4 linked regions of the Anolis sagrei genome follow. The protein of the gene in region 3 binds, or shares a complex with, the protein of the main gene of each other region. Links are inferred from orthologs where the notes say so. Each region holds a gene or a part of one and is shown on either strand. Other genes may lie near its edges. The genes, in order: ITGB8, TGFB1, ITGAV and ITGB6.

Region 1 (7,128 bases), on a different chromosome or scaffold from region 3:
CTCAGTGTTCTTTCAGAGTGGGACCATAAACTGGAAAGTTACTTGTTGGGCCGCACTTCTAGAATCCTCCAGCCAGTATAGCCCCTGGAGGATTCTGGGAGTTGTGATCCAAAATAACTTTCTCAAGCTCTAGATCAGACAAAACACTTGCAAAATATCCCAACTTTGATCTCTAAAATCTCTGGGAAAGAAACCTGTATGATGATGGAGTTATTCAACCCAAAGTTGGGTTACTGTGAGTTTTCCAGGCTGTGTGCCCATGTTCCAGAAGCATTCTCTCCTGACATTTTGCCCACATCTATGGCAGGCATCCTCAGAAGTTGTGAGGTCTGTTGGAAACTAGGAAAGTGAGGTTTATAATTTGTGAAATGTCCAGGGTGGAAGAAAGAACTCTTGTATGTTTGAGGCAGGTGTGAATGTTGCAATTGGCTACCTAGATTAGCATTGAATGGTCTTGCGGCTTCAAAGCCTGGCTGCTTCCTGCCTGGGGAAATCCTTTGACAAATTTCAACAGAAAAGAGGAAACCAGGAAAATGAACAAAATCTGGCTACCAATATTTAAAAACTGTAAAATCAAGACAGTAAACAAACAACAACACTCAGATAGCAGACATGAAACAATCAGGGCCAGCTAGCAGCACCAACAAAGGATTCCCCAGGCAGGAAGCAGCCAGGCTTTGAAACTGCAAGAACATTCAATACTATTCATGGCTGGAATCACTGGGGTGTTGTGTGGGTTCTGGGCTGTATGACCATTTTGTAGCAGCCCTTTCTCCTGACGTTTTGCTTGCATATGTGGCTGGAATCTTCAGGACAAATGTTAAACAAGTGTAAAGGATGCAATTGGCAAGTCAGGCACTTAAAATCTAGCTTGTTACTTGCACTCTTTACAATTACACTCTTTACACTTGTTTCACAGACAATGGTTCTTGTGTTGTCAAAGGTTTCATGGCTGGAATCACTGGGTTGCTCTGAGTTTTCTGGGCTGCATGACCATGTTCCAGAAGCATTCTCTCCTGACGTTTCACCCACACCAATGGCAGGCATGCTCAGAGGTTGTGAGGTTTGTTGGAAACTAGGCAAGTGAGGTTTATATATCTGTGGGTTGTCCAGGGTGGGAGAAAGAACTCTTGACTGCCTGAGGCAAGTGTGAATGTTGAAATTGGACACCTTGATTAGCATTTAATGGCCTTGCAGCTTCAAAGCCTCACTGATTGATGCATGGGGATCATTTGTTGGGAGGTGTTAGCTGGCCCTGATTGATTTGTGTGGATTTCCCCTGTTTTTTGAGTGTTGTTTTTTATTTACTGTCCTGATTTTATCATTTGGGAGCTGTAGACTCTGGGATTTATAGTTATCCTACAATTAAAGAGCATTCTGAAGCCCACCAATGATGGAATTGAGCCAAACATGGCACACAGAACTCCTATGACCAAGAGAAAATATTGGAAGGGTTTGGTGGGCATTGATCTTGAGTTTTGGAGTTGTAGTTCACCTACATCCAGAGAGCACTGTGGACTCAAACAATGATGGGTCTGAACCAAACTTGGCATAAATACCCAATATGCCCAAATGTGAACAATGGTGAAGTTTGAGCATATAGACCTTGACATTTAGGAGCTACAGTTGCTGGGATTTATAGTTCACTTAGAGCCCCTTGAACCCCACCAACGACAGAATTGGGCCAAACTTACCACACGGAATCTCCATGACCAACAGAAAATACTGTGTTTTCTGATGGTCTTTCATGACCCCTCTGACACCCCCTTGTGACCCCCCAGGGGTCCTGACCCCTAGGTTGAGAAAGCCTGCTGTAGGTGATCCCTCTGGCTATGATCCTACTCTGATCCTACTCTAATAAATACTCAATATGCCCAAATGTGAACACTGGTGGAGTTGGGAAAATAGATCTTTACACTTGGGAGTTGTAGTTGCTGGGATTTATAGTTCACCTACAATCAAAGAGCATCCTGAACCCCAACTGGGTCAAACTTCCCACACAGAAACCCTATGCCCAACAAAAAATAATGTGTTTTCTGATGGTTTTGGGTAAGGACCTCTGAGGATGCTTGTCATAGATGCAGGCGAAACATCAGGAGGGAATGCTTCTAGAACATGATCATGCAGCCCGAAAAACCTACAACAACCCAGCCTACCGGAATTATGGGAGTTGAAGTCCAAACACCTGAAGGGCTGAAGTTTGCCCATGTCTGGTCCACCCTCTCAGGAGCCCCGGCAGTTCCAAGTGGTGTTCAACCCGCGTGGATGCTCGCAGGGTCAGGTGCATGCTCGGAGTTCCAGGGGAAACAAGAAGGAGGCAGGATTGAAGGGCCAGACTTACTTGGTTGCCCCCAGGCCGGGGCCAGCGCGGTGAGGAGGCGAGCGATGCCCAGGATGGGTCTGGAAAGAGGGCCTTGCGGGAGGGAGACCAGCCCCAGAGACAAGGCGGACAGGAGCGGGAGAAACATGGCCCGAGAAGCGGCCGAGTCCGCGCCGTCGGGAAGAGCAGCAGCAGGAGGAGGAAGAGCAGGCAGAGTCGGAGGCACAGGTAGGAGGAGGAGGAGGAGCGGCACTGCCTCCGCATGTCAGGTCCAGCGTGGGCAGCCCTCCGGGGAGCCGCCAGCCCCGAGGCCAGGAAGGGCTTCTCTCCCTGCGAGGCGCGCCATCCGCTGGAGGGGACAAGGAAGAAGGCGCCCGTGCCTCCTTGGCGCCCGGAGAAAGGACAGGCAGCGGAGGCGGGCGGAGGGGGCAAGGAGGCGGTCCCTCGCCTCGCCTCCCCTTCGACTCCTTCTTCGTCTTGTGTTGTTGTGGTGGTGCTGGCTCGGCTTGCTTCGGCGGAGTTTCCCGTCCCGATCTGGCCCGCTCCCTCCGAAGGGGATGCTCTCCCGAAGAGAGAAAGAGAGAGAGGGAAAGGAAGGCGAGGGGGAGGGAGGGAAGGCGAAGGGGCGAAGGGGGAGGAGTCCCCTGGCTTTGTTTTGCGGGCTCCGGAGTGCCGCTGGCTCTGCTCTGTTGCTGGGCGGCTGGCGCGATTGTTCCCGAAGGGAATGCGGCTCCGGGGGCGTCTGCCTGCGTGTCTGCTTGGGGGGAGTGAGGGGAGGGGAGGGGTGGCTGGCCCAACCGCCGCGCCAGAGAGGCAGACCCTGGCCTCTCCACGCTGCCTCCTGTCCCAGCGCGGCGGGACCTCCTTGTCCCCCTTCTCTGAAAGGGCCAGGAGAAAGGACCCCTTCAGAGGGCTGCGGGCATCTGGCACCTTGAAGGCTAGAGAAGACGGCCTTCTTAGCTCGCCCTCCGAATCTCCTCATCATCCTTCATCATCTTCTCATGTATTTCAACCCCATAGAGGTTTTTCCCACTTCTTCACACTAGAGCAGTGGTACCCAACCCTTTTTTTGACTAGGGCCCACTTAACCGGAGGCAACTTTGACCAGGGCCCAGTTGACCAGGAACCACTTTGACCAGGGGGCACTTAACCAGGGCTCACTTTGACCAGGGACCACTTGACCAGGGACCACTTGACCAGGGGCCACTTTGACCAGGGGCCACTTAACCAGGGCTCACTTTGACTGGGGGCCACTTAACCAGGGCTCACTTTGACCATGGCCCACTTGACCAGGGCCCACTTTGACCAGGGGCCAATTGACCAGGGACCACTTAACCAGGGCTCACTTTGACCAGGGACCACTTGACCAGGGCCCACTTTGACCAGGGGCCAGTTGACCAGGGGCCACTTTGACCAGGGACCACTTAACCAGGGCTCACTTTGACCAGGGGCCAATTGACCAGGGGCCACTTTGACTAGGGGCCACTTTGACCAGGGGCCACTTAACCAGGGCTCACTTTGACTGGGGGCCACTTAACCAGGGCTCACTTTGACCAGGGACCACTTGACCAGGGCTCACTTTGACCAGGGACCACTTGACCAGGGCCCACTTTGACCAGGGGCCAGTTGACCAGGGGCCACTTTGACCAGGGACCACTTAACCAGGGCTCACTTTGACCAGGGGCCAATTGACCAGGGGCCACTTTGACTAGGGGCCACTTTGACCAGGGGCCACTTAACCAGGGCTCACTTTGACTGGGGGCCACTTAACCAGGGCTCACTTTGACCAGGGACCACTTGACCAGGGCTCACTTTGACCAGGGACCACTTGACCAGGGGCCAGTTGACCAGGGGCCACTTAACCAGGGCTCACTTTGACCAGGGACCACTTGACCATGGCCTACTTTGACTAGGGCTCAGTTGACCAGGTACCACTTTGACCAGGGACCACTAGACCAGGGACCACTTGACTAGGGTCCACTTTGACTGGGGCCCACTTGACCAGGGCCTAGTTGACCAGGGCCCACTTAACCAGGGCCCACTTTGACCAGGGACCGCTTTGACCAAGGAATACTTGACCAGGGCCCACGCTGACCAGGGACCACTTTAACCAGGGCCAACTTTGACCAGGGCCCACATTACCATTGCCCACTTGAACAGGGCCCATTTAACCAGAGACCACTTTGAGCAGGGCCCACTAGACTGGGGCCTAGTTGACCAGGGCCCACTTAACCAAGGCCCACTTTGACCAGGGACCAATTGACCAGGGACCACTTTGACCAAGGAACACTTGACCAGGGCCCACTTTGACCAGGGCCAACTTTGACCAGGACCCACATTACCATTGCCCACTTGAACAGGGCCCACTAGACCGGGGTCCTCTTGCCCGGGGCCCACTGTGACCAAATACAAAAGCCAGCACAGTGATCTTGTTTGCTGTATACTAATCTTGTTATGTATCTAATAATAATAATAATAATAATAATAATAATAATAATAACAACTTTATTTATATCCTACCACCAGGTTATCAATCTAACAACTGAAAACCAAATTGCCTTGCATAAGTACATGTGGATATATATACCACTAAAGAGAAGATTTTACTCAAACAAGTTTTTTTGGCTCTTCTCTGGAAGATCATACTTTTACAAAAGGTTATGATTTTCAAATGGTTGTGAATGCCATTTTTCTCCAAAGGGTTATGGAGATTCTAGTTTTCCAAAAAATAAGGGGCCTCATAACTTAACTAGCACAGGGCCTCATTTGTCCTCAGTCTGGCACTGTTCAAACCTGTTGCCCAAAGCCCAAATCCAGTCATCCGTATCATTTTATGTGCATCATCATTAGGCATCATGGCTACAGCTGATGGGAGTTGTGACACAGTAACATCTGGAAGTCTTCAGTTCTGTTTAGTCCAGATAGTGAGGTTTGAATTTAGATACAAGGCTTGTGGATGTGACATCTGACTTTAATATTTCCCTGACCTTTTCCCCAACCTCAGAGCCACAAGTGCTATTGGGATGCAATTCCCATTCTCCCCAGTCTGCAGCGTAGATAACAAAAATTGATCAGAGTTGTTGTTCAATAATGTCTGGGGATACAAAGTGGGTAAAAACTAAAGGGCACCAACCAATGTTTAAAGAAATTATAGTTGGCCCTCTATATCCATGAATTCGCTGTCCATGGATTCAATGACCCTTTGAAGGCAACCATGAGGCTGATGTGGCCTTCAATGAAAATGAGTTGGAAGTCCCTGGCATCCTGGTTATCTCAAGGCTGGGTTTTTGCGAGGTGTTGTACATTGGGGGACCTCTGTACCAAGTTTAGAAACTTTAAAACATGGCATTTAGATTGGTTATTGGCACATCTGGAGTGATCATATTACATAAATATTAAGATGGATCATTCATTGCCTATTTATATGTATACAAGGCACAAAATGCTGGTTGTGACCTTTAAAATCCCACATGGTTTGAGTCCAGGTTATCTTCTCCCATATAATCCTCTCCATACACTCTTTGCCCTCTTATGCCAACCATAGGTTTGTTGAGTTAAATTTTTTGGAACTCCAGGTACATTTTTATGTGTAACTTCAACCATTTTTGTTAAGTTTTGGATAGCATAAGGAAGGATTAACACCCCAGTAAAATTTGTTTTGCCGTCTTTGTCCCTGTTCAAAAGATTGAACACTTTCCATCTCTGTGACAATTAATTTTGAAAGTTTTCAGTTATTGTGGAAACAAGGACTGGTGATAAAGCTCTAGTAGAGGCACCTTTTTCCCAGGATAACACTTAGAGAAGAGAATTTCCCTTCCTGGTCCTTTGTAAGTTGGATGTTTGTGACTCACGGATTGCCTGTAGTGCAGTTCAAAGCCAACACCAGGCTGCAGCAGCCACAAAATCCATACCACCAATATGAACTGCAGCATGGATTAAACAGTAAGTGGCACAAGGAAGTCCGATGGAAGCCATATAATGTGCTGCTGCTGGCCCCAGTATATCAGAGATCCAGAGCCAAATTGACTCCACAAAATGCAGAATGCACAATGAAGAATCCCAAACAGAAACTATCAAAAAAATCCCAAGAAAATGGCTGGGCAGCCGGGGGGGGGGGGGGGGGGGGGAGAGAAATGGATAATCTCTGCTGCTAATTCATATTTTCTTGTTGTTAATCCCTTCAGAGCACTGAATACCTTCAGAGCACTGAAACGCATCTGTCTGGGAAATGGGAAAAAGAACCTGCACAGCTGTTTGAGGCCAGGTTCAAGGATTAACGTAATCACCTTCTTGAACTCAAACCGGTTCTAGACTTGTCAATCTAATCACCCACACAGTGAAACCAGTTCCCCTCAAAATGGTTCCAAGCTGGATAATACTTCCAATATAGATGTGCACTTAGTTTTAACCAAACCTGAGTCTCTCCAAGACTTGGAGACAGTACAAAGGGATTGAAAGGGTCGAATTAGGGTTGTTTCACATTCTTCTTTGCTCTCCCTCTTTGTGCTTTGGATCTCAACACAACAGATAAGCAACTAACAAGTGTTTGAAAGTAGCTGGCTTGGTGAATTCCTTCTGACACTTCTCAAACATTTTTTCTCAGGCCGATAATGGACAAAACCATGTATTGTCGAAGGCTTTCATGGCTGGAATCACTAGGTTCCTTTGGGGGGTTTTGGGTTATAGGGCCATGTTCTAGAGGCATTTCTCCTGATGTTTCGCCTGCGTCTGACCTCACTACCTCTGAGGATGCTTGCCATAGATGCAGGCGAAACGTCAGGAGAAATGCCTCTAGAACATGGCCCTAT
Region 2 (7,106 bases), on a different chromosome or scaffold from region 3:
CACCCAAGTACTAACCAGGGCTGCCCCTGCTTAGCTTCCAAAATCAGCAAGATATAGTGCCTTTAGAGCATTGTTTCTCAAAACTTCCTAATGCCGCGACCCCTTAATACAGTTCCTCATTTGGTGGCGACCCCCAACCATAACATTATTTTTGTTGCCACTTCACAACTGTCATTTTGCTCCTGTTATGATTCATCATGTAAATATCTGATATGCAAGATGGATTTTCATTCACTGAACCAAATTTGGCACAAATACCCCATAGGGTTGGGGGGGGGGGTTAATTTTGTCATTTGGGAGTTGTAGTTGCTGGGACTTATAGTTCACTTACAACCTGAGCATTCTGAACTCTGACATTGATGGAATTGACCGAACTTGGCACACAGATCACTGGACAAAATTTGGCACAAATACCCAGTACACCTATATTTGAATACTGGTGGAGTTTTTTTTTTTGGGGGGGGGGGTCGGTTGATTTTGTCATTTGGGAGTTGTAGTTGCTGGGATTCATAATTCACCTACAATCAAAGAGCATTCTGCACTCCACTAATGATGGGATTGAACCAAACTTGGCACACAGAACTCTCATGACCAACAGAAAACATTGGAAGAGTTTGATGGGCATCGATCTTGAGTTTTGGGTGTAGGTGAACAAAATCAATCCCCTCCCCAACCCATCTAGTATTCATCGATCTTGAGTTCACCTACACCCAAAGAGCACTGAGGACTAGAACAATGATGGATCTGGACCAAACTTGGCACGAATACTCAATATGCCCCAATGTGAACACTGGTGGAGTTTCGACAAAATAGACCTTGACATCTGGGAGTTGTAGCTGTTGGGATTTATAGTTCACTTAGAATCAAAGAGTATTGTGAACTCCACCAACGATAGGATTGGGCCAAACTTTCCACACAGAACCCCCATGACCAACAGAAAATACTGTGTTTTCTGATGATCTTAGGTGGCCCCTCTGACACCCCCTTGCGACCCCTTCAGCAGTCCCAACTCCCAGGTTGAGAAACACTACTTTAGAGCATTTAGACTTAGAATTTGTTTTTCTGCTTCTTGGCAGAAAGGGGTTGTACTAGATAGCCCATGAGGTCTCTTCCAACTCTATGATGCTATGATTCTAAATAAACATCCATGTACTAGGATAAAGCATAAAATCACCCAATATAAGTGTTCGGGCTAGTTTGTTTTCCCTAACTTCAGTTTGTGTTAGTAGGTAACAAAGAAACAAGGTAACCCCACATTGCTTTTCCTTCTCCACCTCACTGTCCTCGGCTGTATCTATTGCTTTCCCAATGTTTACAAAGAAAATATCTGAAACTTTCCATCGTGCAGATAACAGGCACTGCCTTTCGACTTCCATCCCTTGCAAATCCCTAAGAGTCAATGTTCCCATTTTACAGATGGGGAAAATAAACAAGGCCAAGAAACTTAGGAAACACCAGAAAGTTTTTCACTTAAGGTCACAACAAGTGTCTTTTCCAGCCCATGTATCACAGTTTAATTACTCTATTCCAGCTCAAAATATGAGGTGTGCTGAGGTCCAATGACCTGAGGTCCATGACATCTTCTAGTAGCCTGACCTGGGAATACTTTATTAACTTTTTAACCCAATCCTCCTGAGCTTCAAAAACTAAATAGTTTATGCCCTCCTATCCAGAAAGGTGTTGCTTTCTGGATATTACTTTTTGGATTACAACCCCATAAAGTCCACACAACTGTCAGAGCCAAGTGTGGGTTTTGTAGTCCTAAAGTACCTTTTCCAATCTCTCCGAATGTGGAAGCCTAGCAAAATGTGTCCATTTCCTGCCACCGGAGAGAAAGATCAGCAAATAACTACTACTAGGTCTTCTGTAACGCATGGACCCCACTTCCTCTCCTCCCAGCCCCAGCCCAGGCCTCACCGTGGTTTAGAGGCAGCATGTTGAACCTGTGGATCTCCTTGGCGTAATACTCCTCCTGAGATGTCTCCTTGGGGTCTTCGACCACCTGCTCCCGGATCACCTCCAAGGTGCTGTTGTAGAGCGCCATGATCTCATCGGACAAGACCCTGGAGTCTGGGTCTTCCACCTCTGGTGGGCTGGAGAGCTTGAGCTTGCTGAGGATCTGGCCTCGGATGGCTTCGATGCGCTTGCGCTTCATCATGTCCATGTCCAGGGTTTTGCAGGTGGAGAAGGCCAAAGCGGAGCAAAAGTGCTCCAAGGCCAGGAGCAGGAGGAAAAGCCAGCCCACGGCCCGCCGATGCATGCCAAGGGCCCCTGGGGCACGTCGGGCATCGCTCTGCCAGCCGCAGCCTCTTGGCACCAACTGCCTCATGCTTCCTCCCACCATCTCACTTCTGCTCTTTAGCTCGGCCCCCAAAAAGGCAAAGAGAAAAAAGAAAACAAAACTTTGCTTGACGTTTACTCACTTCTTTTTAAGCCTCTGTCATCTGAAGAAGAACCTTGTTTCCTACCAATGTGCCACTTGCCATGAAGTCCTTCAAAATATATCCTAGTTTTCTTTTCTCACTAGAGTTTCTTCCTACTTGGAGTGGATCAACCATCCAGGGTGGCACTTTCTCAAAGGTGACAGGAAACTCACCTTGGCACCTCGGCTGTCCATGTGTCCGGCTGCTAGATGTACCCAGGTTCACCCTTGGCACCAGACCACGGCCGCAGCCCAAATGTCCATCTCCCAGAGAAGGCCAACACACCTTGTCTCTCTGGTTTGAGTCAAGAAAGGATCTTTTCTTAGCCAGTCAAGGGGCTCCAGCTTTACCCAAGACAAGAGGTGCCCTGAGTTCCCAGGAATGAGGCACCACACTTGCTTTGGGGACTGGGGCCAAATCCAGGGTCAAGATTCGGGAGGTTCCTCCAGGCGGCTGTGCTCTGGCTTTGCTGCTGTTGCCTCCTGCCGCTTCTTCGCTCCCCAGAGCCAGCTGGCTCTTCTTTCTTCCTCGGCAGGAAAGGCTGTAATTTTACCACTCCTGTTGGGACTTGCTGACTGAGGGCTTGGAGGTTTTTAAAGCGGGTTTTTTTCTCCTCTCCCCAGCGCCAGCTCCACCCAGGAAATGAAGGAGGGAGTCAGCAGGGCTGTATATAACTTCTTCACCAGGGGAGACTCTGGCAAAAGCAGCAAGGCTCTGGCCTGTCTTTCTGCCTGCTCTTCCTGCCTATCCTTTCTTTCTTTCTTTCTTTCTTTCTTTCTTTCTTTCTTTCTTCTCTTACCTTCTTTTCCTTGCACAGCCTCTCCATCTCTCCATACATCTTTACTCACCTCATTGTTGAATCAACCATATCTCTGAAAGTTTTGTTTCTCTTTCCTTTTTGTTTCTTTCATTCCCTTTCTCTCACTGTTGTCTTCTTTCCTCTGCACAGCCTCTCAATTTCTTCATTCATTTTTCTTTATCTAATTACTGAACTATCTACTTGCAAGTCTTTTTCTTTGTTTTCTCTCTCTCTCTCTCATTCACTCATCTTCTTTTCCCTGCATAGTCCCTCCATCTGTCTATTGCTCTTTATTCATCTCAATGATGAACCAGTCTTCTCCCTCAAGTCTTTCTTTCTTCCTTCCTCCCTCCCTTCCTCCCTCCCTTCCTTCCTTTTCTCTCTCAAACCAATTGTCTCCCTCAAGTGTTCTTTCTTTCCTTCTGTCCTTCCTTCCTTCTTTCCTTTGCTCTCTCAGAATCACTTCTCCCTCAAGTCTTCCTTCTTTCCTTCCTTTTCTTTCTCTTAGTACCAATCATCTCCCTTAAGTGTTCTTTCTTTCCATCCTTCCTTGCTTCCTTTTCTTTCTCTTAGTACCAATCTTCTCCCTCAAGTATCCCTTCCTTCCTTCCTTCCTTCCTTCCTTCCTTTCTTCCTTCCTTCCTTTTCTTTCTCTCAGAACCAATTTTCTCTCTCAACTGTTTTTCCTTTCTTCCTCCCTCCCTTTCTTTTCTTTCTCGCAGAACCAATCTTCTCCCTCAAGTATCCCTTCCTTCCTTCCTTCCTTCCTTCCTTTCTTCCTTCCTTCCTTTTCTTTCTCTCAGAACCAATTTTCTCTCTCAACTGTTTTTCCTTTCTTCCTCCCTCCCTTTCTTTTCTTTCTCGCAGAACCAATCTTCTCCCTCAAGTATCCCTTCCTTCCTTCCTTCCTTCCTTCCTTCCTTCCTTCCTTCCTTCCTTCCTTCCTTCCTTTTCTTTCTCTCAGAACCAGTCTTCTCCCTCAAGTGTTTTCCTTCCTTCCTTTCCTTTCCTTTTGTTTCTCTCAGAACCAATCTTCTCCCTTTCTTTCTTTCTTTCTTTCTTTCCTTCCTTCCTTCCTTCCATCCATCCATCCATCCATCCATCCATCCATCCATCTATTCATCCTTTTTCTTTCTCTCAGAACTGATCTTCTTCCTCAAGTGTTTCCCTTCCTTCTTTCCTTCCTTCCTTTTCTTTCTTTCTCTCTCTTTTCCTTCCATATCCTCCTCTCTCCATTCACCTTTCTTCACCTCATTGCTGAGCCAACTATTTCCCCACAAGAGATCTTGCTTGCTTGCTTGATTTTTCTCTTTCTTTCATCTTCTCTTCGATGCATAGCCTCTCCAGCTCTGTTCATCTCTCTTTACCTTTTTGCTGAACTATCTCTTAGGAAGTCTTCTTGACTCTTCTCTTCACTTTTCTCTCTTCCTCTTCTTTGCTTTCTCTTTTGTTTAAAAAATGATTCAGCGCAAGGCAGAAGCGATGGGCCAAACTCAGGCGCAGCCTCTGCTTTCGCTTTGAGAAGGATCTTTTTTATTACAGGAGATTAGATAACGCTTTCAGTGGCTCTTCTAACTCGGCGGCAGCTTCTGTGCTCAGGCAGCTGAGGAAGGGGCTCCTGGACTAGATAACGCCTGCTTCAAGTCAAGGGAAATACCTTCAGGCTGGAAGGCCTGGATTCAAGTTTCGCCTCTGCCCATGACTCATGTCAGTAGCCCCGGGGGAATGTTTCCTGAGCTCACATGATATGGCTTTGTTGTGGTCATGTCACAATGAGGACCCAGGTGGGGTTTTTTCCTACAAGTTGCATTTCCTGAAAATACACCACACTCATTTTAATACTTTCGTTGTCATATACTTTCAAGTCATTTCTGACTTATGGGTTTTCTTGGCAAGATGTGTTTTGAGTGGGTTTTCCTTTGCCTTCACCCTAGATCTCCCACTCAAAAGTGCAATATCACCCAGACTCTCTATACATCGCTATCACTATTATTCCTGATCCATTCTGAATAGTATTTGTGTATTCAAAACACATGGCCTGAAGTTGGTCAAGCTAGGCCATATTCTGCAGATAGTAGCTGACATTAAGAGAACAAGGACCCATTCACTGCTGTCTCACAAACCCTTGGTCAAAAGAAATATCCAAATGCTATTCCATTCTAAGCAATTACAACATCATATAGATCAGTGGTTCTCAACCTTCCTAATGGCACAGTTCCTTATGCTATGGGGACCCCCAACCATAAAATTATTATGTTGCCACTTCATAACTCTAATTTTTCTATTGTTATGCATTGTAATGTAAATATCTGATATCAGGATGCATTTTATTCATTGGACCAAATTTGGCACAAATACACAATATGCCCAAATTTGAATACAGGTAGGCTTGGGGGGGGGATTGATTTTGTCATTTGGGATGTATAGTTCACCTACAGTCAAATAACATTTTGGACTCCAGCAATGATGGAATTAAACCAAAATTGGCACATAGAACTCCCATGACCAAAAGAAAATACTGAAAGGGTTTGGTGGGCATTGACCTTGAGTTTTGGAGTTGGAGTTGTAGTTCACCTACAACTGTGGACTCGAACAATGATGGATCTGGACCAAACTTGGCACAGATACTCAATATGCCCAAATGTGAACACTGGTGGAGTTTGGGGAAAACAGGCATTGACATTTGGGAGTTGTAGTGGCTGGGATTTATAGTTCACCTACAATCAAAGAGCATTCTGAACCCCACCAATGATAAAATTGGGCAAAACATCTCACATAGAACCCTCATGACCAACAGAAAATACTGTGTTTTCTGATGGTCTTTGGTTACCCCTCTGAAAACCCCTCGTGACCCACCCAGGTGTCCTGACCTCCAAGTTGAGAAACACTGATATAGAAATAAGAATGTGTGCTGGTTATATATCTAACATTTCACAGGTAAAAACCAAGCAACATCCAAGGTGAAGTAAAGGTATAGGTTTCCCCTGACATTAAGTCTATCCACAAGCATGTGGGCAATTTCAACAGGAAGGAGGAAACCATGAAAATGAACAAAATCTGGCTACCAGTACTAAAAAAAACCCTAAAATTACAACAGCAAAACAACAGAGGGGAAACAATCAGGCACATCTAATCACCTCTCAACAAAAGATTGCCCCAGGCACTGCCAGACCATAAAATGCTAATCAAGGTGGTCAGTTGAAACATTCACACCTAGCTCCAACAGATAAGAGTTCTTTGCCCCACCGTGGTCATTCCACAGATACATAAACCCACTTTCCTAGTTCCAAAAGACCTCACTGCCTCTGAGGATGTTTGCCATAGATGCAGGCGAAATGTCAGGAGAAAATGCCTCTAGAACACGGCTATATAGCCTGAAAAAACCTACAACAACCCAGTGATTCCGGCCATGAAAGCCTTCGACAATACATTAAGCCAAGTCATTTTCGACTCTGGGGAGTGGTGCTTATCTCCATTTCTAAGCCAGTGTTGTCCATAAAATATTTATAATATTATAATGTAATGCAATATAATACTACTACTACTAACAATAACAATAATATGATATTATAATTATATATTTATATTACATGTAATATTACCAATAATATTACAATATAATGGTATAGTACAATATAGTAATATTTAATACTGATATTGTACTATGCTACTAACTTAATATATTGTATGCATATATATCTTGTAAGCCGCTCTGAGTCTCCTTTGGGGGGGGGGGACTCAAGCCCCGCCTTCATCACAAGTGAGATTGGCGGGGACAAAGAGCAGGGCCTTCTCGGTGGTGGCCCCTCACCTATGGAATTCACTCCCTGGGGAAATTAGATCATCGTCATCCCTCCTTTCCTTTAGAAGGAAATTAAAAACAT
Region 3 (7,716 bases):
ACTGAAATTAAGACCTTAGCCTTGAGTATGTATGTGCCTTCAAGTTGCCTGCTCACTTTCGTGATCCTATGAATGTCAGTTCAAAGCAAATCCCAGCAAATACCTTTGAATTATATCTTATCTACAGTATAATGGATGTAGTTTGACATCACTTAAACTGCTTTGGCTCAATGCTTCCTAGGGTTTGTATTATCATCATCATCATCATCATCTATACCTCTTTGAGCCCCCAGTAGCGCAGTGGGTTAAACTGCTGAGCTGCTGAACTTGCCGACTAAAAGGTTGGTGGTTCGAATCCAGGGAGCAGGATGAGCTCCTGCTGTTAGCCCCAGCTTCTGCCAACCTAGCAGTTCGAAATCATGCAAATATGAGTAGATTAATAGGTACCGCTCGGACGGGAAGGTAACAATGCTCCATGCAGCCATGCTGGCCACATGACCTTGGAGTCATCTACGGACAACACCGGCTCTTTGGCTTAGAAATGGAAATGAGCATCACCCCCCAGAGTCAGATATGGCTTAACTTCAATGTCAAGGGGAAATCTTTACTTTACCCTGCATTTTCTCTTCATAAGGAGTTTGTAGTTTGGTGAGACACCAGCATTATCTGACAGAGATGGTTAAAGACCTTGACAAACTACAAATCCCAGGATTCCATAGAATGAAGCCAGAGAAGTTAAAGTGGTGTCAAACTGATGCACCCTAACGGCAGGGCTTTTTTGTGCTTTGTGTTCTCAAAGGCTTTCATGGCCGGAATCACTAGGTTGCTGTGAATCTTCCAGGCTGTCTGGCCATGTTCCAGAAGCATTCTCTCCTGACATTTCACCCACATCTATGGCAAGCATCCTCAGAGATTGTGTGGTCTGTTGGAAACTAGGCAAGTGGGGTTTATATATCTATGGAATAATGTCCAGGGTAGGATAAAGAACTCTTGTCAGATGGAGGCACATGTGGATGTTGCCATTAGTCACCTTGATTAGCACTGAATGGCCTTGCAGCTTCAAAGCCTAGTTTCCAACAGACCTCACAATCTCTGAGGATGCCTGCCATAGATGTGGACAAAATGTCAGGAGAGAATGCTTCTAGAACATGGCCATATAGCCTGGAAAAGTCACAGCAACCTACTTTTTGTGCCTTCTTTCTTAAGGGAGGCTTTGTGTTTCATCCCCAATCCCTTCTTCCAGACTCACACTGAACTCCATTCATTTATTTTAAGGAGGCTCCCTCCTCCTCTCCTTCCTTCCTTCCTTCCAAACTCTCAGAATGGAGGTGAGCTTTCCAATTTCTTCCCTCCCGTGAAACTTGCCTTGGGTCCAACATCCCATCACCAAAACTGAAAAAAAAAGAAAGAAACTGGACCGTTTAAAGCCTCTAATATGGATGCGTCTACACTGTGGAATGAATGCAGTTTGGCACCACTTTAACTGCAATGTAATCCTGGAATCTGTACGTCTGGCAAGACACCAGCACTCTTGTATGACAAAGGATTTCCCCAGGCAGGAAGCAGCCAGTCTTTGAGGCTGCAAAGCCATTCAGTGCTAATCAAGGTGGCTAATTGCAACATTTACTCTTGCCTGAAGCAGACAAGAGTTCTTTCTTCCACCCTGGACATTATTCCACAGATCTATACTTCTCATTTTCCAACAGACCTCACAACCTCTGAGGATGCCTGCCATAGATACAGGCGAAATGTCAGGAGAGAATGCCGTCTGGAGAGACACCAGCAGATCTCTCAACCTCTTGAGGATGCCTGCGATAGATACAGGGAAAATGTCAGGAGAGTATGCCATTCCCCCAGGCAGGAAGCAGCTTGGCTTTGAAGCTGCAAGGCCATTAAATGTTAATCAAGGTGATCAATTACAGCCTCCACATTTGCCTCAAGCAGACAAGAGTTCATTCTCCCACAGTGGACATTATTCCACAGATATATAAACCCCACTTGCCTAGTTTCCAAAAGAGCTACCAACTTCATAGATGTGGGCGAAATGTCAGGAGAGAATGCTTCTGGAACATGGCCAGACAGCCTAGAAAACTCACAGCAACCCAGTGAAAAGCCATGAAAGCCTTCGACAACACAAATTCTAAAACTAGAACAGTAAATAAAGAGCAAGACTCAAAAAGTAGGGGAATTCTAGGCAGGAATCAATCAGGGCCAGCTAATACCTCCTAACAAAGGATTCCCCCAGGCAGCAGTCAGACAGGCATTAAAGCTGCAAGGCCATTAAATGCTAATCAAGGTGATCAATTGCAGCCTTCACACTTGCCTCAAGCAGACAAGAGTTCTTTCTTCCACCCTGGACATTATTCCACAGATATATAAACCCAATTTTCCTAGTTTCCAACAGACCTCACAGGCTCTAAGGAAGCCTGCCATAGATGTAGGCGAAATGTCAGGAAAGAATGCACTCTTTTAAGTCAAAGAATTCCCCCAGGCAGGAAGCAGCCAGTCTTTGAAGCTGCAAGGCCATTCAATGCTAATCAAGGTGATCAATTACAAGAGTTCTTTCTCCCTCCCTGGACATTATTCCCCAGATACCTAAACCCAAATTTCTTAGTTTCCAACAGACCTCACAACCTCTGAGGATGCCTGCCATAGATGTGGGCAAAACGTCAGGAGAGAATGCTTCTGGAACACAGCCAGACAGTCTGGAAAACTCACAGCCACCCACTCTTTTAAGACTTTATGCAATGACGAATGCAACTCCCTTAGTCTTGAGCCATGGCAGTCCCAAGCGGCGTGAAACCGCAGCAAGCCTCCAGTGCGGACGGGCTCTGGAAGCGCTACTTACGAGGCGCGATCCGGGGCGAAGAAATCCACGGCGAAGCCGAAGTAGCTGCCTTCCGCTCCGGAGTAAACGGCGGGGCTTTCCACGTCCAGGTTGAAAGGCCGGCCGGGCGGCAAAGCCGAGAAGAGGAGGAGGAGGAGGAGAGGGAGCCAAGGGAGGCCGGCCATGGCGCGCAGGCAGCAGCCCAGAGGAAGACGCGGAAAGTGGCCCAAAGTCGCCTCGCCAACCCGCCAGGCCGGAGGAGGAGGAACGGGAGGAGGAGGAATAATCACCGCCAGGGACTGAGGGAGAGAGAGAGAGAAAGAGCGCTCCCCAGCCCTGGCGACCAATCCGCGGCGAGGATGAGACTTGCTTTTTGTTTTGTTCCTAGAGCTGCGACTCCGCGCTGAAGGGAGGGAGAGGAGGAGGAGGCTGGTCCAAAGGGGGCGTGGCTTCCAAAGGGGGCGTGGCTTCCCCCTCTGGCCCAAAGTTCCAGAGGCGAATCTGCCACTCTTTGGCGCCCCATTGCACCCACTGTTACATTCATGCTCTTCTTTCACAGCCTGGCTCAATACTTATGGGCGTCTTTCGCCTTCTCTGTTGCCTCATTTTACTGCAACTTCTAGGATTCCTGCATCAATAGGAGACTAGTGTCTAGATCCAGGGAAGTCATGCCACCCCTCTATTCTGCCTTGGTTAGACCACACCTGGAATATTGTGTCCAATTCTGGGCACCACAACTGAAGAGAGATGTTCACAAGGTGGAATGTGTCCAGAGGAGGGCGACTAAAATGATCAAGGGTCTGGAGAACAAGCCCTATGAGGAGCGGCTTAAAGAGCTGGGCATGTTTAGCCTGCAGAAGAGAAGGCTGAGAAGAGACATGATGTTGTTGTTCATTCGTTCAGTCGTCTCCAACTCTTCCGTGACCTCATGGACCAGCCCACACCAGAGCTCCCTGTTGGCCGTCACCACCCCCAGCTCCTTCAAGGTCAGTCCAGTGACTTCAAGGATGCCATCCATCCATCTTGCCCTTGGTCGGCCCCACTTCCTTTTGCCTTCCACTTTCCCCAGCATAATTGTCTTCTCTAGGCTTTGCTGTCTCCTCATGATGTGGCCAAAGTACTTCAACTTTGTCTCTACTATCCTTCCCTCCAGTGAGCAGCCGGGCTTTATTTCCTGGAGGATGACTGGTTGGATCTTCTCGCAGTCCAAGGCACTCTCAGCACTTTCCTCCAACACCACAGTTCAAAAGCATCGATCTTCCTTCGCTCAGCCTTCCCTAAGATCCAGCTCTCACATCCGTAGGTTACTACAGGGAATACCATGGCTTTGACTAGGCGGATCTTTGTTGCCAGTCTGATGTATTCTGCCTTGGTTAGACCACACCTGAAATACTGTGTCCAATTCTCGGCATCACAATTGAAGGGAGATATTGACAACCTGGAATGTGTTCAGAGGAAAGCGACTAAAATGATGAAGGGGCTAGAGAATAATCCCTATGAGGAGTGGCTTAAAGAGCTGGGCATGTTTAGTGTTCAGAAGAGAAGGCTGAGAGGAGACAAGATAGCAATGTAGAAATACATGAGAGGAAATCATAGGGTGGAGGGAGCAAGCTTGTTTTCGGCTGCCCTGGAGACTAGGACGCAATGGAAAAATGCTTCAAATTACAAGAAAGGAGATTCCATCTGAACATTAGGAGGAACTTTCTGACTGTGAGAGCTGTTCAGCAGTGGAACTCTCTGCCCCGAGTGTGGTAGAGGCTTCTTCCTTGGAAGCTTTTAAACTGGATGCCCACTGCATACTTCCATCCACGTGTCCTTCTTTAAGGTAAAAGTAAAGGATTTCCCCTTGACACTAAGTCTAGTTGTGTCCAACTGTGCAGGGTGGTGCTCATCTCTTCTAAAGCCGAAGAGCAGGCGTTGTCCGTAGACACCTCCAAGGAAATCTGGCCAGCATGACTGCATGGAGCACCGTTACTTACTTACTTAGGCGATCCCTCGTTGGACGAGTAAGATGGGCTTCCATTATGCGTTTCCTTGTGGGTTCGTAGGTGGCTGTGGAGCCCTATTCTTAACCGGCATCTTCTCCCACAGTAAGGGCATTGGTTTCCAGGTGGAAGGTGGTCCCAGTTGGGGTTAGCTTGATGCACCTTCCTCCTGGCACGTTTCTCTCTTTCGCCCTCTTTCGCCCTCTTTCGCCCTCCACTCGTGCCTTCTTGAATTCTTTAGCACTGCTGGTCACAGCTGACCTCCAGCTGGAGCACTCAAGGGCCAGGGCTTCCCAGTTCTCAGTGTCTATGCCAGAGTTTTTAAGGTTGGCTTTGAGCCCACCTTTGAATCTCATTTCCTGTCCTCCAACATTTCGTTTTCCGTTCTTAAGTTCAGAATAGAGCAACTGCTGTGGAAGGTGGTGGTCAGGCATCCGAACAACGTGGCCGACCCAGCGGAGTCGATGGCAGAGGACCATCGCTTCAATGCTGGTGGTCTTTGCTTCTTCCAGCATGCTGACGTTTGTCCGCTTGTCTTCCCAAGAGATTGGCAGGATTTTCCGGAGGCGGCGCTGATGGAATCATTCCAGGAGTTGCATGTGACGTCTGTAGACAGTCCGCGTTTCGCAGGCATAGAGCAGGGTTGGGAGGACAATAGCTTTGTAGACAAGCACCTTGGTATCCCTACGGATGTCTCGGTCCTCAAACACTCTCTGCTTCATTCGGGAAAATGCTGCACTCACAGAGCTCAGGCGGTGTTGTATTTTGGTGTTGGTGTCGGAGCACCGTTACCTTCCCTCCGGAGCAGTACCTATTGATCTACTCACATCTGCATGTTTTCAAACTGCTAGGTTGGCAGGAGCTGGAGCTGACATCCCCATATGAGTACCTGGGTAGACTTGTCAAACTACACATACCAGGATTTTCTGTATTGAACCCTGGCAATTCAAGTGAGGTCCAACTGCATTCATACTACAGTAGGGATGTGTGATCCATAAAAATATGATTCAAAAGTCATTGTCGTTCTTTAGGCAGAGATGAACCAAACAAATACCCAGTTTGTGTTAAACATTTTAATTAAAACAGCACTTTCTGGCTGTTTTAATAGTACAAAATATAACACAAAGATAACACTAAGCCGCAGAATACAAAACAAAAACTGATAGCAAACACTACACCGTAGTCAAAGGCCGAGAGTTCAATGAGCAAAGTCCAGGGATCAAGAGTCTATACCGTAGTCAAAAGCCAGTCCAAAGATTCAAGGTTTCAGGATTCCAAGGATTCAGGAGACAGATCAGGATACCCAAAATCCACGATTTCTCTCACTTCCTATTTGTTAGTTGGATGTTTATAACGTGGGGGCTGCCCATATATCTAATTCTGTAGTAAAATATTATTCACTGTATAAAATGGCAAAATCAAGATTTGCTTTTTGGAATTTTCTTGGGGGATGGCTCAGCTATGAAACCCAACGGGTGAATTTGGACTAGTCAGTCACACTCTCTCAGCCTCAGAGGAAGTAGAAAGCCACCCTCTTCTGAACAAGGAAACCCTGTGATAGGGTCACCATAGGTCTAAAACAAAAAGATCTTCAAGTGCCATGTTTGTTCAAATGTTAGTGAAAACATAGAGGGAAACACAGGGATTAATTATTACTGAGTCGATCTGATGAATTACCTGCAACCCACATTTTTGTGTGGGCAGGAGTGTTTTCATTGAATGTGCTTCCTTTTCACCCTTATTGTTTTTTATCTATGTTGGAAGCAGCTGAATGCATGAAAGCCCCTGTTTTGATGAGTCAGCTCCTTGCCTCCCACACAGTCTCCACGCAGTTTAGTCATGTTCTCAGGGAAGCTGAAGTCATTCCAGTTGCTGCCCATGAAAGGACTTGGGCAGTCTAGACATCTTCAGGGTGTAGCCACTAGGGCTGTGTGATCGATGTTTCAAAAGTAATTAAAAAACTAGGGCCACTAGCATTTTGCTTCTAAAGTGTTTCTAAAGTGTTGTTACTGAAAATGTCATTACTATAATGAGAAAAAAGGAAATTCATTAATTTTTCATTATATATTTGCGCAAATGGGGAAACCTCATGGGCTTCTTTCTCTCATTTTTACACCTGTTCGGGTGAAACTTGCTATAATGCTAAAACACATTTACCACTTTTAGCCTATCAGGTTTCAGAACGTTTCACTTATCCATGGATTTTTGGGGAAATTTCAAAGTTTTATAAACAGCATTTTAAAAACTAGAAGAGCTATCTCCTTGAATTTTCTCTACAATGTCACAAAATAATGGGGGATCATCTCCCACCGCAACTTTCAGAAATATTCATACATCTACTAATTTTAGGGATTTTTAAAAAAATGTTGACAAAAACGTGCTTTTTTAAAAAGCCACAATAGCTAGCTCATTAAATGTCTCCCATATTAACAATAGAACTTCCATTTAGGGATTTCTTCCCAGTCCAGCAGAGATTTACTTACTAGAAGTATTAGTCAGTCCTCCTCTTTGCAGATTCAGCCATTCATTGGAACTCTGTCTGGCTGCTGCTATGGAGGGAGGGACACATTTCTCCCCTATCCTGATTGGGGCTTACTGATGCTGAGCAGAATTCTGGGAAATGTAGTTTAGGCAGGGCCTTTTGAATTCTCAGTCTTTCCCAGCAAACTCTGCTTTATCACTGCTGCTTCCCCCTCCTAATGGCGAGATGCCATTAATTTAAAGAGGAAAGGCAGCCTTTTTGGCTTTGCTTTGCTTCCTTGTGCTGAAACAGAAACTGACTTTGGAAGGCTTCCAAGATTTACAAAATGAAAATTTAAAAAGTATTTGGTAAGTTTTGATTCTTTAGTTTTTAGCACAGGCTGTGCCAGCACGTCAGATATTGCATCGAAAGTACAAATTTAATGAATTTGGTATGACTTATGACAACTAATGAAAAAATTCTACACCCCTAGTAGCCACTTT
Region 4 (8,124 bases), about 15 Mb from region 3:
CAACTGTTCCAACATGGTAGGGACACTTCTAATTAATCTTCTTTTCAGCTTCTTTTAAGATTTCATAATTTCTTTCCACCTTCCCTCTTTGCTTCATTTGCTACAAATGGAGACCCAAGTGCAAAGCGCTCAGCCCTGTAGACTCAGGCAAGAACAAACTGCTGTATATTCTTCCTCATTAATAATTTTATCATCGTGACCACACTCTGATGATGTTTAGACACACATGCCCCAGTTTTTATCTGTGAAACACTGGAGGATATGTGGTCCTGAACTTATTCCCTCATATGTGACCTCTGAGATTCTACCTCCAAGGAATACAGCCTTCGGCAGAGAGTGGAGGACAGAGGATTTCAGGGAGGCTTTAAGTTAATGTATGTCGAGTGTAATGTTGTCTAGAGGGCTTTATCAGCTTAAAATAGGCACATCTGCCTTAAAGCATTATGATTGTAGAAAATATGATCAGCCTTGTATTTGACAGGAGCTAAACATCCATATTTGATCAGGTTCCAGGACTGAATTACATTAATATTACAGTGCACAGGTCTTAAGGGATGCATAGGTTTGTACATAAAGAGATCAGGTGTGCCTTTCTATGAAGTTTTATATTTTATGAGGATATGATGATTTTCAAAAATCATTGTAGCATCAGAAGATACAGGAGACACAGTGGCACAATGGGTTAAACCCTTGTGCTGACCTGGAGACATGAATCCACGAGATGTGAGCTCCCATCTGTCAGCCTCAGCTACCCATGCAGGGACATGAGAGAAGCCTCCCACAGGATGGTAACACATCCAGCCGTCCCCTGAGCAACATCCTTGCAGATGGCCAATTCTCTCACACCAAAAGCAACTTGCCAGAGGAAAAGTGTTCTTGCCATACATCAAGGGAACCACTGACTGCATAGGGAAGCTGATAAGGAAACACAACATACAAACCACCTACAGACCTACCAAGAAAATCTAACAAATGCTACTTTCAGCAAAGGACAAGAGGGATCCTCTCACCTCTGCAGGAGTCTACCGTATTCCATGCAGCTGTGGACAAGTCTACATAGGGACCACCAAACGCAGCATTGCCCAGACACGCATCAAGGAACATGAAAGGCACTGCAGACTACTTCAACCAGAGAAGTCAGCCATAGCAGAGCACCTGATGAACCAACCTGGACACAGCATATTATTTGAGAACACAGAAATGCTGGACCATGCTAACAAACACCATGTCAGACTACACAGAGAAGCCATTGAAATCCACAAGCATGTGGACAATTTCAACAGAAAGGAAGAAACCATGAAAATGAACAAAATCTGGCTACCAGTATTAAAAAAAACTTACAAATTACAACAGCAAAACAACAGAGAGTAAACAATTAGGCACATCAAATCACCTCTCAACAAAAGATTCCCTCAGGCACTTCCAAGCCATTAAATGCTAATCAAGGTGGTCAGTTGAAACATTCACACCTAGCTCCAGCAGACAAAAGTCCTTTGTCCCACCCTGGTCATTCCACAGATATATAAACCCATTTTCCTACTTCCAACAGACCTCACTACCTCTGAGGATGCTTGCCATAGATGCAGGCGAAATGTCAGGAAAAAATGCCTCTAGAACATGGCCATATAGCCCGGAAAAACCTACAACAACCCAACTTGCCTCAGTTTGCTTCTGACACAAAAAAAGAATAAGAAGATACAAAGCTTTCTAGAAAGGCAGACGTCATCTCCTACATCAGAATGATTCCACAACACAAAGTGATGGAAAGTAATAAAACTATCACTCAGATATATGGGCAATGCCAGACATGAGCCCTGAGGCCAAATAGACCCTGCAGTAGTGGCTGAAGTTTGATTTATTTTTACAACAACATCCAGAATCCCCAGCCAGCACAGCAGCTTGATAACTCCGTTAGAATGGTGTAATAGGACACCTTTTCTTGTCCGCAATTCAGATGTTAAACACATTAGGTTTGTGCACTCATGGAAAAGTCAAATGGTCCTTTCACACCACACTGCTATAGCACTTTACCATCAAATCTGAAAGCATGCAATTTAGGGAAGATCATTTAGAATTCACAGCCAGGATGCTCTTCCCCAGATTTGTATAAGTTGCCATCATTATAATGTAAGTGGAACCTTAGTACTATATCTGTATAGGGTGAAATAACCCAAAGAAACTATATTACATATGAAAATATGGCAAGGAAGAAAAATTCTTAGGTTAGAGGAATAAACTATTATAATCACATGTCATGAAAGTATGCTAAAATGTGCTTACAATTTTCACTGGCACTTACAATGAATTTTGGGTAACAATGTATTTTAAAAATAGATTCTACATTTTATACTCTACCTTGTTCTCCCATCCATGAAATGTCTCTCACACCCAAAAATAAAAAATAAAATATTTCCTGTTATCCTATGTAGAAGGTTCACAGCTGCTGTCTCCTCATTTGATGACTTTTGAAGTGGGTTGTAGGTTTTTGAAGTAGGTTTTTTCGGGCCGTTTGGCCATGTTCGAGAGGCATTCTCTCCTGACGCTTCGCCTGCCTGTATGGCAAGCATCCTCAGAGGTAGTGAGGTCTGTTGGAACTAGGAAAATGGGTTTATATATCTGTGGAAAGACCAGGGTGGGACAAAGGTCTCTTGTCTGCTGGAGCTAAGTGTGAATGTTTCAACTGACCACCTTGATTAGCATTTGTCCCACCCTGGTCTTTCCACAGATATATAAACCCATTTTCCTAGTTCCAACAGACCTCACTACCTCTGAGGATGCTTGCCATAGATGCAGGTGAAACGTCAGGAGAGAATGCCTCTAGAACATGGCCATATTGCCCGAAAAAACCTACAACAACCCAGTGATTCCTGTCATGAAAGCCTTTTGAAGTACTAGTGTGTTGGAAATAATTGTATTCGTACCACATGTGGTCAAAGAACACACTAGTTCCCCTGATATATGCATTTTTGTAGGCAAATGAAGCTGAGAATTGAATTTTCAAATCCAAAGTAGAATGCCATCAGAAGGATAACTCTGTTCCAATATGTGAAGGCGTGAAATGGATGGCAGGTGTGAAATAGATCACAGGAGAAATATGCAAGTAGAATTTTCCTTCATCTCTGTCAACTCTAGTAACAAAACACAAACGAAAACCACAGTGCTGGTTGTGTTTGAAACTCTTATTCAGAAACTATATCACCAGTTGAGAGATTGGAGATGTTTCCTTTTTTGAAGTATAGTTCCAAGAATCCCCAAACCAGCAGGAGATTCAGGGTGCATCAATACTCGAACGAATGCAGTTTGACACCACTAACAATCATGGCTCGGTGCTATGGAAGCATGAAAGCCGTATTTTGACAAAGTTTTCAGCCTTCTCTGCTTCAGAATGCTGTTCCCTCACCAAATCATTAATCACAGAATTCAAACTGCATTCATTCTATATAGTAAAGATGCACCCATAGTTCAAAATGCCTACAGTGACTGTCCTAAATTCTGTACTTGTGTAACCAAACCTTCATTTGCCCAGAGCAAGGATGCACTCTTCAATTTGTGTATTTCTTTATTATGGATTTCTTATATGAAGCAAGCAGTTATAGCCTTTATCATCAAAACTGAAAGTCAGACTACAACTAACCCCCCGCCCCCAAATATCTATCTGATACTACCACTAAGAAACTGTAACAGATTATTCTGTTCTGCTTTGGTCAGATCTCATCTAGAGTACTGTGTCCAGTTTTGGATTCTGGGCACCAGAATACAAAAAGGACATTGACAAAGTAGAATGTGTCCAGAGAAAGACAAACAAAATGATCATAGGTTTAGAAACAAAAGCCTATGAAGAATGACTGAAGGAGCTGAGTATGTTAAGCTTGGCAAAAAGAAGGCCGAGAGAGGACATAATAGCCATCTGAAAATATGTCACGTTGAAACGGGCAAGCTTGTTTTCTGCTGCTCTGGAGACAAGGACATGGAACAATGGATTGACAAAATGCATTGTTTTCTGCATTCAAACTGCAGAAAAAGACATTATACCTAAACATTAGGAAGAACTTTCTTACAATAAGAGCTTTTGAGGAGCGTGTTGGAATCTCCTTCTTGAAAGGCTCTTAAGCAGAGGCTGGATGGCCATCTGTCAGGGGTGCTTTGATTGTGTTCCTGCATGACAGAATGGAGTTGAACTGGATGACACTTCCAACTCTAAGATTCTATGATGTCCTCCTCCCAATGATTTGCTCCCTCCTCCCTATGACTTCCTCTCACATATTTATACATGACTATATCAGAAGAGAAGGTTGAGAGGAGACATGATAAGGGCTATGTATAAATAATATGTGAAGGGAAGTCATAGGGAGGAGGGAGCAAACTTGTTTTCTGCTGACCTGGAGACTAGGACACGGAACAATGGCTTCAAACTACAGGAAATGAAATTCTACCTGAACACGAAGAAGAACTTCCTATGAGAGCTGTTCAGCAGTGGAACTCTCTGCCCCAGAGTGTCGTAGAGGCTCCTTCTTTGGAGGCTTTTAAGCAGAGGCTGGGTAGCCATCTGTCAGGGGTGCTTTGAATGCGATTTTCCTGCTTCTTGGCAGAGGGTTGGACTCAATGGCCCACAAGGTCTCTTTCAACTCTATGATGCTATAACTCTATGATTGTATGAAAGAAAGCTAATGCCAAAATCTGCAGCACAAAATGAGCAACACTGTTCTGAGTTTATTCTGGAGTCCCCAAGAGCAAGAAGGAATAGACATTGCAGTTTGAAAGGAAGGGGTTTATCCACAGGCTGTTGGAAACTCATCCAACAGGAATCTTTCCATCAATATCACAACAAAGCTATCTTTCCATACTTGCCTACAAAAACAGAAGCATTTTCTTTGCCCAGGTCATCTCAGTCAGTTAGGTATGGCCTTAAGTATACTTGCGTATTACCGCCAGGCATCTCTTATGCCCAGCCGAACAGTCTTTGTTTACTATGAGTTTGAATGTATTCGCCTAACACAAAGATTCTCTCGCTGACTCCCACCACTTCTCCTGCGTAAGCAATATATTGGCATAGCTTTGCCATTTGTCAGCCAGCAGTCTGTGAACACATTTGCTCGTCAATCTAAATTTAACCTTTTCTCACACAAGCACTTGTAAATCAACCAGGCATTCTGTCATTCAGTAGTCCTAGGTCTTCGTGTTGGTTTCTTTATTGTGAAAAAAAATCTTCCAACTTCATGCGCTTTCTAAAGCACACCCTGTGTAGCCGGCAGCGAGGAAATTAAATGGGATCTCTCATACTTCAAGACTGCGAATAGAAGAATGCGGGGAATCTAAGCCACAGATAAATGATCTACCCTACCAAAATAAACCCTACCACTCACTGGATCATGGATGCAGTGGATGCATTTCGGCACTTTCCAAAACGAAAGTCCTGCCCACCCTGAAAGGTAAGTGCTTTTATAAAGTGCCCTGCTAACTAATCCTCAGCACAGGTACACCTTCTTCTTGTTGCTTTGTGGGTTTTTTTCCCCTTGCGGGTCACCAGGGATGAATCCATCAATGTATTTATACGCAAGCCTATTTTGGTTTATTTTGATCCAGTGAACATTCTTTGCATAACTGATGTGAAAGGATGATTGGCCTATTTATTTTGGCAGAACCAAAGTCACTGCTAATACGTTTTTCTTCTTTTGAGCCATTAATGCCATTTTACCTGGTATATTACAGCTGAGGAATTGCATGTGCCTTCCGTGAATGACTGCCTTCAGATGCTTTTGCTACTGAACAACAAGTAACAGGGTGGATTCAAAGGCTGGAATGGGATGGGGTGCAATTTGGCAATGTCTTCAGTCCTTAATTTCATTTTCCCAATTTGACTTGTTTTTCAGTATCAATGCAAACCTTAGATCTTTGTTCTCATTAATGAACTGTTAAAGGACATTTTGGCACAATTCCAAGACATTTGTTGTATCGAAGTTGCACTGAAATTTCTGAAAAGAAGGTATACTTGAACACTCGGTGATTTCAATGCTTTTGGAGGCAGTTATCCTGTTTTGAAAAGACTTTCAAGTATGCCTGTATTCCTTTCAGCATTGGCTACATTCATTCATTTGAAAACTGCCTTAAGATTGAATTTGAATAATTAATGCATTCAGTCTCATTCAATATCTTAATTTTTCCATAGCCACTACCTTTGCAATACTCTGTAATATAGAAACATACCAAAAGTTTACAATGAAGCACATAAATGTGTTAGTCCCTTTTATTTATGTCAAATAAATGGAAACTCAGCAAGTCAATGCTTATCCAAATTCCATAGAATGAAAGGGTCAACTCTAACTTGAGCAAATAATTTTATTCAGACCATACTTCATACCTCGGAAAGGTTACTTAACAGGCTTACAATAGTTGTACATATTGGAATATGTTGTCTGTATCCAAGACAGTGAACTGGCTATGTGGTATGCAGTGGAGGACAGATGGACACTCCAAAGATAGTGGTGAAGGAGGGTGTTTTGAAATTATTTGGCATGGATGTAGAAATGTGCCTAACCCTAATGTATATCTATTACTTTTACTATTCCAATTTTCCAAGGCGGTTAGGCTGAGGATTACAGAAGAAAACTATGAACTAAATTGTCTAGGGAGGAGAAATGAACTGATTATAGATGAAGTCCCATCCTGTATTCACATCACCTGAAAAACATAGTACTACGAGATGTGTCTTGTTTTAACTTTAATCCATAGAAAAGTCCATGGAGGACCAGGATCTGTGAATTCATCTAAGCACATTTGACAAAATATGTTCTTTCTAGAAATTGTATAGGTCTTCCAGTTGCTTCCATGGTATACTTTTGTAGAAAATTGTCTTTGAGTCACTCTAGAGCAGTGGTTCCCAACCTTTTTTTGACCAGGGACCACTTTAACCAGGGACCACTTTGACCAGGGATCACTTTAACCAGGGACCAATTTGACCAGGAACCACTTGACAAGGGACTACTTTACCAGGGACCACTTTGAGCAGGGACCACTTTGATCAGGGACTACTTGACCAGAGACTACTTGACCAGGGGCCACTTGACCAGGACCACTTTGACCAGGGAGTACTTGACTAAGGACCACTCTCTAACAAAAGGGTTACGAAACAGTTTTTGGTCAGCTTTAGAAACGGTTTGGTTATTTGGGGTGCTGATTCAGAAAATTGCATGTATAGACCACATCAGCTCTAGTTTCTGATACAGAACATATGCCATGGTCAGCGACAGGGAAGGAGTGGCAAGCGCCACAAAAGAAGTGGAAATAAAATAAATAAAACTAAATAAATAAATAAAGAGAAAGGAGGCTCGCGGATCAGATTTCCGTCCTCAAGGCCCACTGGTGGTCCACAGTTAAGAACCACTGCCCTAGAGGATCTAGCAAATTCCTAGAGAGGATACTTCTTTGGAAATTTCCTAGGTTCCCCAGGGTGATTCTATGGTAACTTCCAGTGGGAGTAATTCATTTCAGTGGGGTTTCTGTCATCCATGTTTCTGTTTGCCACTGTAAGTTCAAGAAGACATCCCTCATTAATATGAGGATCCTGTGATATTTTCTGTGAAAAAGGCTCTCAACACAGTATATATACCTCAATCTTACAGTGGCCATCTCATCAGACAGGCTACTTGGCCTGTCATACACCACTTCTTCCTTTTCAGGATGGAACCCATTACATGATATACATGTACTTCTACCTGGGCTCTGTCCACAAAGGGGAAAGCAAGCAGCATATGTGGCTGATGTGGCAACATGGGAACTTTCCCATATTGCCTTTCCAACAATGGGTGGAAGCCGGGTGGCAATGATTCCCCTGTGGGATGGAGTTCCAGGCAAGTTGTTCAATATGGGACATGAAGCGACAGGTTCTCCATGCCTCCCTGCCCCCGGCCAGGAGCCCATGGATTTGCCAGGGGCCTTTGAGCTGAGGTCTTTAGCTTCAACTTATTTAGCTGTTTTAAACGGTTGTACATTCTCTCAGGGACCCTGTTAAACACATAAATGCCTAAAGTAAACAAAATAAAATTTATTGTCAAAAGCTTTCATGGCCAGAATCACTGGGTTGTTGTAGGTTTTTTGGGCTGTATGGCCATGTTCTAGAAGCATTCT

The links.
Region 1: the proteins of ITGAV (region 3) and ITGB8 are in contact, whole or in part, in a cryo-EM structure (PDB 8TCF), measured with the Homo sapiens proteins. The link is inferred for Anolis sagrei from reciprocal best matches to the Homo sapiens genes ITGAV and ITGB8. Residues at the interface, in NP_002201.2 of Homo sapiens: Tyr48, Phe51, Trp123, Leu141, His143, Gln150, Glu151, Arg152, Pro154, Phe184, Gln186, Phe189, Pro204, Trp209, Asp249, Tyr251, Tyr254, Arg275, Arg278, Thr279, Gln301, Met302, Ala303, Tyr305, Phe308, Pro328, Leu329, Met331, Ser335, Asp336; in NP_002205.1 of Homo sapiens: Ser197, Pro198, Ile202, His203, Pro204, Arg206, Ile250, Asp251, Thr252, Pro253, Thr287, Ser288, His289, Leu290, Ala291, Leu292, Asp293, Lys295, Leu296, Gly298, Val300, Pro302, Glu321, Ser324, Leu325, Gly326, Gln327, Glu330, His349, Trp350.
Region 2: the proteins of ITGAV (region 3) and TGFB1 are in contact, whole or in part, in a crystal structure (PDB 5FFO), measured with the Homo sapiens proteins. The link is inferred for Anolis sagrei from reciprocal best matches to the Homo sapiens genes ITGAV and TGFB1. Residues at the interface, in NP_002201.2 of Homo sapiens: Asp178, Asp180, Phe207, Tyr208, Gln210, Ala245, Asp248; in NP_000651.3 of Homo sapiens: Gly242, Arg243, Arg244, Gly245.
Region 4: the proteins of ITGAV (region 3) and ITGB6 are in contact, whole or in part, in a crystal structure (PDB 9CZA), measured with the Homo sapiens proteins. The link is inferred for Anolis sagrei from reciprocal best matches to the Homo sapiens genes ITGAV and ITGB6. Residues at the interface, in NP_002201.2 of Homo sapiens: Tyr48, Phe51, Lys72, Trp123, Leu141, His143, Gln150, Glu151, Arg152, Pro154, Asp178, Ala179, Phe184, Gln186, Phe189, Pro204, Tyr208, Trp209, Asp249, Tyr251, Tyr254, Pro274, Arg275, Arg278, Thr279, Met302, Ala303, Tyr305, Phe308, Pro328; in NP_000879.2 of Homo sapiens: Ser183, Pro184, Phe185, Lys187, Thr188, Thr189, Pro190, Ile236, Asp237, Thr238, Pro239, Asp273, Ser274, His275, Phe276, Gly277, Met278, Asp279, Lys281, Leu282, Ala283, Gly284, Val286, Pro288, Glu308, Thr311, Ile312, Gly313, Gln314, Ile316.

Annotation. Positions count from the first base shown.
Region 1 is NC_090026.1:94,433,871-94,440,998, forward strand, and holds the start of ITGB8 (integrin beta-8), read right to left. Parts: upstream 3,053-7,128; 5' UTR 2,469-3,052; coding exon 2,342-2,468; intron 1-2,341. UniProt on the Homo sapiens protein: Integrin alpha-V:beta-8 (ITGAV:ITGB8) is a receptor for fibronectin. It recognizes the sequence R-G-D in its ligands.
Region 2 is NC_090034.1:98,784,265-98,791,370, forward strand, and holds the start of TGFB1 (transforming growth factor beta-1 proprotein), read right to left. Parts: upstream 3,119-7,106; 5' UTR 2,345-3,118; coding exon 1,918-2,344; intron 1-1,917. UniProt on the Homo sapiens protein: Transforming growth factor beta-1 proprotein: Precursor of the Latency-associated peptide (LAP) and Transforming growth factor beta-1 (TGF-beta-1) chains, which constitute the regulatory and active subunit of TGF-beta-1, respectively.
Region 3 is NC_090021.1:185,345,025-185,352,740, forward strand, and holds the start of ITGAV (integrin alpha-V), read right to left. Parts: upstream 3,042-7,716; 5' UTR 2,953-3,041; coding exon 2,789-2,952; intron 1-2,788.
Region 4 is NC_090021.1:200,288,081-200,296,204, forward strand, and holds the start of ITGB6 (integrin beta-6), read left to right. Parts: upstream 1-5,011; 5' UTR 5,012-5,429; intron 5,430-8,124. UniProt on the Homo sapiens protein: Integrin alpha-V:beta-6 (ITGAV:ITGB6) is a receptor for fibronectin and cytotactin. It recognizes the sequence R-G-D in its ligands. Internalization of integrin alpha-V/beta-6 via clathrin-mediated endocytosis promotes carcinoma cell invasion.